Canis lupus familiaris: one gene and its partner. Each later gene encodes a partner of the first gene's protein in a complex. Links are inferred from orthologs where the notes say so. Each region holds a gene or a part of one and is shown on either strand. Other genes may lie near its edges.

The links.
Region 2: CUL3 (region 1) and KBTBD8 share a complex: the UniProt entries of both Homo sapiens proteins name them as parts of the BCR(KBTBD8) E3 ubiquitin ligase complex. The link is inferred for Canis lupus familiaris from reciprocal best matches to the Homo sapiens genes CUL3 and KBTBD8.

What each region holds. Positions count from the first base shown.
Region 1 is NC_049246.1:38,009,043-38,013,517, reverse strand, and holds the start of CUL3 (cullin-3), read left to right. Parts: upstream 1-1,408; 5' UTR 1,409-1,423; coding exon 1,424-1,495; exon of another isoform or gene 1,496-1,664; intron 1,665-1,675; exon of another isoform or gene 1,676-1,696; intron 1,697-4,475. UniProt on the Homo sapiens protein: Core component of multiple cullin-RING-based BCR (BTB-CUL3-RBX1) E3 ubiquitin-protein ligase complexes which mediate the ubiquitination and subsequent proteasomal degradation of target proteins.
Region 2 is NC_049241.1:24,616,896-24,621,325, forward strand, and holds the start of KBTBD8 (kelch repeat and BTB domain-containing protein 8), read right to left. Parts: upstream 2,951-4,430; 5' UTR 2,810-2,950; coding exon 2,794-2,809; intron 2,544-2,793; exon of another isoform or gene 2,317-2,543; intron 2,152-2,316; coding exon 1,941-2,151; intron 1-1,940. UniProt on the Homo sapiens protein: Substrate-specific adapter of a BCR (BTB-CUL3-RBX1) E3 ubiquitin ligase complex that acts as a regulator of neural crest specification.

The DNA of each region.
Region 1 (4,475 bases):
CCCTCCTCCCCTCCCGCGGACCCCGCCCGCTCTCAGGCTTCGCCCCGCCCCACCCGGGGCAGCGCGCTCGCCCTCGTCTCGCGAGATCTCGGCGTCCCCGCCCCGCCCCGCCGCCGCGGCCGCCCGCCTCCCCCTCCCGTCCTCCCACCCCCTCCCCCCGATCTCTCCACTCTCCGGCTCTCCTCCCTCCCTCCTCCCCCCTCCACCCTCTGGGCCGGATCTCGTCTCGTCGAGGCGGAGGAGGAGAAGGAGGAGGAGGACGTTCGGCCTGCGCAGTGAGATGTTTGTCCGTCGCCGCCGCCGCCGCCATCGCGGAGGAGCGCGATAAAGGGAGCCGAGCCGGGCGTGAGGGGGACCCCGCGGAGGCGCCGCGCCAGCGCAGCCCCCCCAGCCCAGCCCCGCCGCAGCCCGAGCCCGAGCCCGAGCCCGAGCCCGAGCCCGAGCCCGAGCCGCCGGAGCCCGAGCCGCCGCGGCCGCCCAGGGGCCGGCCCGCTCCCCAGCCCAGCCCGGGGGCCGCGCCGCCGCCGCCGCCGCCGCCGCCGCCCCCCAGCGCAGCCCCTCGCCGGCCCGCCCGCCTTAAATGTGACACCGGCGCCTCGGAGTGCGACCCGAAGCCGCCGCCGGGGAGGGGACGAGCACCATGTCGAATCTGAGCAAAGGCACGGGCAGCCGGAAGGACACCAAGATGCGGATCCGGGCCTTTCCGGTGAGTCTCTCCTCGGCGCCTGGGACCCCGGGGCCGGGGGGCCCGGCGGAGAGCCGCACGCGAGGCCCGGGCTGAACTCCCCCAACAGGCCGCAGGCCCGGCCTCCCCTCCCCCACGCCGCCGGCCGCGGGGCGCGAGCCTTCCCGGCCACGGGGCGGGCGGCTCGGGGGCCCCGGCGCCTCAGGCCGGCGCCGCGCACCCGCCCGGGAGCCTCGGGCCGGCGGCGGCGGGCGGGCGGGCGGCGGCTGCTGCGGCTGCGGCGGGGGCCCCTGGGCCGGCCCCTTCCCACGTTCCCGGGGGGTAGGCCCGGCCCCCGGTGCTCCCCTCCCTGCCGGCGCCCCGGGACCACCACACCCGCGGGGACGGGGACTGTGGAAGTCTTCCGTGTGTGGGGGGGCGTGTGTGGAACTTTTCACGTGCGGTCTCAAAAATAACCCGGCCTCAACCAGGGCCCGCCAGACCTTTCGGGGGGTGGAGGGGGCTGTCCTGTGCCTCCGCAGGAAGGGGGCTGGCCGCCCACCTACCCGCCCCCCGACGCAGTGACCGTGGCTCCTTGCACTGCTCGGTAGTAACGCACGCACCTAACCTCGTCAGCTGTATTTATAGCCTCTTTCATCCACAGGCGTCCAAAAGCACTTTACAAACTCTTCTTGTGCAGGAATTGGCCTCGCCACTTGTAGGAGGGTCAAGGGGAAGCCAGAGAACACACGCTGGACAATGGCCTCTCCAGATCTTAGCCGTGGAAGCCCAGCAGGAGGGGGTCGTCACTGCCCCGAGTTGCTCTACGCTGTGGGTTTCAGCGACAGCAAAGGCTGCTCTGTTTAGAAACTTTCTTTTTTAGCGTTACGTTGAGTCATACGCTGGCATTATTTAGTGTAGAGAGTGTAACTTGGGATGCCATACCTGATTCAGATAGCCCATGGCAAGCAATTAAAGTGTACTGTTGTAACAGAAACTGGACGTTCTTGCCTCACGTCGCTACGGTAACAGGTATATGTCAAGAAAGGCAAACCAGCAGTCGAACGGAAGGTTTTGTTTTTTTTGTTTTTTTAAAAAAAAAAAACAACAGTAAAACTGGGGAAAGATCTTGAATGTCTTAGAATCCTACACACGTCATATTTTGGGAAGGGGGAAAAGGTGGGGTTTGTATTCACTGTGGGAAGGCTTGCTTTTTTCTGAAGTGTGATTTGCAGTGAGGGAAGACACTAATGCAGAAGAGAACTAATGAAGTCTGTCAGCATGTTTTCTCTTAACAGTGAAGTGAGCTGGGCTTAGGAATTTTTGAGTAATGTTAGTTTTGCTACTAAAGCAGTTGTGAACATGTTTAGCAGGATTTCGAATTATTAAGAGTTTCAAATAGTTTTCTGTATAACAAGTTTTCTAGGAAAAATTTGCTATTCTTGAAGTCTGAGTTCTTCTAACTCAAACTTACTACTATAATGCGGCATAGCTCACATTTGACATGAACTCACTTTTGTTAATATTGCGATTAACCAGTTGTACCTTTAAGCGTGATTAGCTTTTTCGTCCATTTAGGTTTACCTCTTCCTACCTGGTCTTCATTCCCTCATTCGTTTAATGAAGACTGAGTACTGTGTGCCAGGCACTGTTCTAGGAGCTTGGAGTAAGTCAATACAGCTTGAAGACTAAAGATCCCTTCTTTCTGGATGTTGTATTTATTATTGGGAGAGGCAGGAAAGAATTTCATGATTCCTTTAGCAAAAGAGTATAGTATATGATAGGTTAGCACATAGTCCTGAAACTGATTTTTTTTTTTGTGTGTGTGTGTTAATGATTGTGAGCTAATTTGGATCTTTTCTGTCCACAACTTGTTGCCATCTAAGATTTTCTAATATTCTTTATTGAAGTTTATAAATGACTACTGTTTGATACTCAGTAGTTTAGTACCTGCTAATTTTTAAAAGCATAGTTTTTCAATGTTTCATGATTTATAATATTCGTAACAACTTTCTACTGAAAAGAACCTAGATTTTTTTTTGATTTATAAACTTCTAAGTTACAGTTTCTTGGATAAATGCCTCAGTGGTATGATATTTCACCGACTTACCCTTTGGTAAATGAGTCCTTATAGACCTTCAAAATTTCTCTTTTCTTACAGGTTAGCAGTCTTCTAGTAGTAAATGCATACTGTTCCATAAAGAAAAAATAGCGTTTGTATGTGGTACAGATGTACAATATTTATAGCTATATAGTATTTTGTATTAATCTTTGGACATGCATTGTAGGTACTGTAGTTTAAGAAAATTATAGTTTAACCAAAGGTCTCAGGTGCTCATTTCAGGATTCTGTTTTATAAAATCGACGTGTAAAAAGTGTAAAAATATGTTTTGAGATTGTTTTGTTTTCATTGCAAAACAGAGTGGTAAGTGAACTCACAGGCTATTCTATAAGATGTGTAAGCATATTCCAGATACAGACCCATCAGTAAAATCAGGTTCTTTTAGTGTTTTGAGTACATATTTTAAGTGTTCCTTCATTATTGTTCCCAAGAGTAAGTTATGCCATACCACAGTTTTATCTACAATTTGCATTTTAAGTAGAACTTTTCGTAAGATTTTAAGAGAAATTAGTTCTTTTTTAAGATGGAAAACAGTGAGGACTTTATGGATTCATAAATTGTTGATGGAGTTAAAGTTTATCCCAGCCTGAAAGCTTTCCTACACTGCACAAAATATGTCATTTCACTTTTTTTTTTTGGTACCCAAAATTAACAGCAAGGGGCAAAATTTTTTTTTTAAGGAAGGAAGCTGTAGTTGCGAAACTCTTGGAAGCTATATGGATTTGGATCAGAGTGCTGCCCCAAGAAGTTTCTGCTCTTCTTTCCTTGCTGTTGTTGAATGTCTCACTCCTGAGCTTTTCTTTTGTTCTGCTATGTAGAATTAGTTGCTGTCAGGTGAACCTTTTGTCCTTTATCTTCGAAAAGCCATTCCTCTCCATCTGTACTTTCCACATGGGTTTTGTCCACATGGGCTTGAAAAAACTTGATTGGATTGGAGGGGATATATTTGAATGAAAATGCTCCTCTCTCTTCTGATAGTCCCTTCTTGACTTAGCCTTCAGAGTTTAGAAGTCATATTATGAAAGTGATGGTCTTTAGAAGTGTGTGATCTGGAAGTGGTTTCAGTTATTATAGAGCATAGTCATGATGAAGAATCTCTGGTTGTGATGTCCACTCCATAATCCTAGATTGGCTTCTTGGAGCTCTACCTGTGTAGCATGGACAGTGAGTCATGTAGAGGTTATTGTTAGAGGGAAACCACAGAGTGGATGACAATAGAAGGAGATGAATTTTAAGATCATTTGTGATGTACTTAAGAACACAAGAGTTTAATGGTAATTGGGGACACTTAATTTTGTTTTTCCTAGCTGTGGTAAAATTTGCTAGATTTGGGAAAAAACAGCTTTGATCTTCATAATAGATTTCCTTAGAGAAAGTAACAGTTGCCTAGGATTACCTGGACTATATACAGGAAAGCTGAATAATAGTCTGAATAATAGTCCTGGAAATCAAACAGGGTGGGGAATTAACTATATTTACTTACCATTCTCTAGCATACAGAAACTATGGAGTAAGTTATAAAAGATTCGTTAAAGCGTTGTTTACACTTAGACTGATTTGTTTAGTAGTTTCAGGACATCCAGTTATGTTGTAGCTGTTAGTATGTTTTCAGCTTTAGAAGTTAAAAAACAAAAGCGTAAAGTAGTTACCTATAAGGCATTTGTATTTTGCATTATCTTCCTAGATACT
Region 2 (4,430 bases), on another chromosome or scaffold:
TTATTTTTTTCCACCAGTGATGCAAGACTCAGAAACTATTAAGTATGTCTTCCTAGAGGCTCACATAAGGAGCAGCACCAGTGCCAAGAAACTTCTGTACAAAAACCTCTAGCAAGAGATAAGAACCTAATCCCTAAGTTTCCCAGCCAAATACCTTCATCTGAATCCATGTATCTTATTGCTTAGAAAGTTTTCCAAGCATTTCCTTAATTTCTTGTAATTAAGAAAATCAACTGTAGCATACTTCTTTTAAAGTGATTTGTCTAAGTCTTCAAACTAACTTTAAGTTAAGTATGACATTTAAATGATACAAGCCAGAGTATAAAATTTCAGTAAGATACATTTTCCTACTTTTCAAGCTTCAATTTTTAAAAACTGTTCAAATCTAATATACAATAGAAACTTCTCAAAGGCAACTTTAAAGGGCGCTCGCTCTTGTTCATTAAAAGTTTTAATAGTGACTATGAAGCCTGACTCTAGAATCAAATCCAGCCTCTGTCACTTTCGTCGTTAGAGGTCTTAGGCAGTCATTTAACTTCCCTGAACCTCAGTTTTTCATAAGTAAAATGGGAATAACTGTGTAAAGACGGGATTGTAAAGATATGTAAAGCAATATATGTAAAGTAAGCTTAGCCCAGAACTTGATCAGTATTAATTATGACATATATTTAAATGCACAGACGAACTAACCATATCTAACAGATAGTCTGGATAAGTGAATCCCACCAGCAGTCCAAACTTCACCAGGCCAAACTTCATACCTTCTGTGCATGAGATTCTTCTTTTTTCCTTCCAGCTCACTCCCTTGTGATGGTTAATACTTAACAGTCCAATGACCTATCCCTAGGCAAGTCTAAATGGTTACATCACAAGCATCAGACTGAAGTGACTATATTTAACCCAGTATTCTGAGAAAGAGGAACCAGAAACTACTGCCTGGAACAGTATACTGCTATATGCTTATAAAGGCAAGCACCTTCAGAAGAAAAAAAACAACAACAGCAACAAACCACCTTTAGAGTGTAGTTGAGATTATCTAGCTGTCATTCGGGCACCAGTTTTGAACACTGAAGGACTTTAAAAAGTGAGCACTTGAAACAAAAGAAGTTGAACTCAAGACGGGAATTGTCTTTATCAGTGTTCTCCTCTTAAAAGTATAAAATTCTTTGTTAGACCCAAGTTTTGAAATATTGCTGTTCCAACTTTCGGATACACAAAGAGCGTAATGAGAATGAAAACCCGCAAACGCTTCTGGAAACCATGGAAATAATCATTAGCCTGGAGCCTTAAGATGCATTCGTTCATTTTTATTTCATTGCTTTTACCCCAATGGCATTAAAACCACCTACTGAATGGTAATTCATTTTCGAAAGAAAGCACTATTTTGCTTTAAATGCTAAGAGTTACAGGCACCAGGGAACTGTGCCTCACGGACAAATTCTTGGAACAAATTCTAGACCAGCACTGTCCACTAAAACTTTCAGTGATGGAAATGCTCTATATCTGGGGCTGTACAATTGGCAGCCACTACCTCCATGCGGCTACTGAGCACTTTAACTGTGGTTAGTTTGCCTGGGGGACTGAATTCTTAATTTTATTCAATTTAAAACAATGACGTTTAAATAACCACATGTGGCTTGTGGCTGCCATGCTGAGAGCAGCACAGGGTCTAGATTTTGCAGTTATTTACCCGAAAGAAACAAAGAGAGACTCACTAACGTACAAACCAGCCACCTGGGTTCCAGAAGCATCCGTCAAGTCAAAAACAAGGGGCCCAATCAATAGAGCAGGGCCTGTTATTTACTTGGAGGGGGCAAACTGGTGGGTTTCATTTAATGGTCTCCTCTCCGTTTTTTATCATCAAGCGGGCAATACCGAGCGATGAAGGCAACCTCGGTGAAGATAAGCAAAGCGAAGCTTCTATACCATCATCGTCATACCTGAAGTAAGGGCTGATCGCAGCCAGGACGTTTCTGTGACAGGAGAAGGTTCTCCCGTGATCCACTTCCACTACAATGTCTGTCAACTGTCCTTCATCGTACATTGTTTTGAGTTGCTTGAGAATACTGCACGCATGGAAGGGGTCCATGGCATCGTTGGCTGTGTCCGAAGATGGAATCCCATTCGGCGTTGGGGAGGCCTTATTCAAATCTAGGAGAAAAAAAACAAAAACAAAAACAAAAAAAAACAAAAAAACAAACCGAACGAACACAAGAAGTTCGGAGCCAGTTACGGCGTTCAGGCTCCCCATCCCCCACCCCCCCCCTCCCCTCCCCCCTCCCTTCCCCCCCACCCCCCCCCACACATCCTCCCCACCTCCAAAACTACATCTGTGTATACAGACAGCACCCAGTGGGGCCGCAGAGTGGGATCCGGGGGAGACGGCGCGGGGATGCGGGTCCAACACCCTCCGCTCCTGCGGGAGCCCGGCGAGCCCGCTGCCCCGTGCTCGCGGAGGGACCTGCAGGCGGCACCGGCGGCTCGGCCGGGAGCGGCGGAGCAGGAGCCTCACGAGGGAAGCTCGAAGGACGGCGGCCGCCGCTCAACCCCCTCAACCGCCTGATGCACCGGTCGGAGCGGCGGCGGGTACCCGGCCTCCCCATCTCTGCCCGGCCGGACCGCCCACCGCCCTCCACGCCACCCATCCATCCTCCCTCCCCTCATCCCTCCCCACCTCCCCATCCCCATCCTTCCCTCACGCCTCTTCTGCGCCACCTCCCCAGCTCGCAGCCTGAGCCGGGACCCCGGCGCGCCCCCCCCGCAACACACCTCCCTAGCCACCGCACGACCCACCTGCCGACGCGGCCATTTCTCGACGGGGCCCCGGCTCCAGCTATTTAAAGAGGAAATGTCATTTCGCTTCTCCAGCTCCCGGGTTCCGGCTCTTCTAAGCTTCACCTGGCCAATGGGGTGGCCTAGGCATCCGGCTCCGCCCCCAGCCTCCGAGTTCTGCGCTCCGATTGGCCACGACCCGCGCTAGGCGCTTCGGGAAGTGTAGTTTTATTGCCCCCGCTCCCGCGTGGTCCGAGAAGGGCGGAGGCCCACGCCGGTGGTTTCTATTGGCTGCTTGCGGCGGAGGTGGAGAGCTGGGAACTCGCCAGCCTGTGTCTGTGGGGCGCGCGGTGCCTGCCGGGAAACGTAGTCTTCTGGCTGAGTAGAGCTGTCATTCTGAGGGGCTAGGGTAGGGAAAGCTCTTCAAGTGCAAATTTCCCCATTTTAGGCCTCTCTCCAGGCCCCTGGCTCGCCTTTCCTCTTTTTTTTTTTTTCCTTGCACCTTGTTCTTCATTCCCCAAACCTCTCGCCAGCAACTAGCTTCCGGTATGAAAACGGGCTCTGCGTGAGAGCTGTGAAACCAGAAAAATTAGGACCTGGCCAAGAGGGCTGTGGTCCAAAAACGCGGAGGAAATCTGACACTCCACCCTGAAGTAAAATATCAAGAGGCCCCAAAGCAAGCCGTTCTCTGATGAGTCACCTGTGACACCCAATTGAAATAGCATCTAGCATCGCCCCCCCCCCCCACCCCCCCCACCGGCCGAATGCTCTGGTTTCTGCAGATTCATTTGGTCTGCACGAGGTCTCTAACTCCCACCTGTGCCTTGCTTTCCTCGAGCGCCCGGAGAACACCTGTTCCACTTGCAAGAGCGCGAAAGCAGGCTGCAAGGGGATTCGGGATGCTTTCCTCTCTGCTCCTGGGAAGTGGAGGAGTTAGGATGCTAGAGAGCCTGGGATTTCCTTTGGAGAAATATTGGAGGGTGCTCCGAACCTGAAGACCTGGCTGCTCCCTTACTAAGTAGAGAAGACTTTTTAATTCTTGAGCGCTCAGGGCCTTCACCTGTACCATGCGAATCACCACGAGGATTCCGTCTGCTTCATAGGCTGCAAGCTTTTTGGGAGAAAGATGGGGACCCCTGGGTGGCTCGGCGGTTTAGCGCCGCCTTCGGCCCGGGGGTGTGATGCTAGAGACCCGGGATCGAGTCCCGCGTCGGGCTCCCTGCATGGAGCCTGCTTCTCCCTCTGCCTGCGTCTCTGCCTCTCTCTATGTCTATCATGAATAAATAAATAAATAAAATCTCAAAAAAAAAAAAAGAATTTGGATTGTAAGTTGTGATGGAGAAAGAGAGAATGATGAAAAACAACCCAGCTCTCCTAGCTCTGCTGAAAACTTGAGAGCTCAAAAAATATATATGCTATAATTCCATTCAAATTAGCAAGAATTGAAGTTTCCTTGGGGCTGGGGTGTATGAACATTGATATACACTGTGTCTACACTCTGAGAGTACCCTGTAAGCCCTGTCTGTACGGCTCTGCATGAATAAGCTTGATGTAACTTTTGTTACTCAGAACTTTAAATTTCCATTTTTTTATGATCTTAATGCTGTTGCTTTCTAAGTTATGAAAATACTAGAGGTTTCTTCGCTTAACCATGTTGA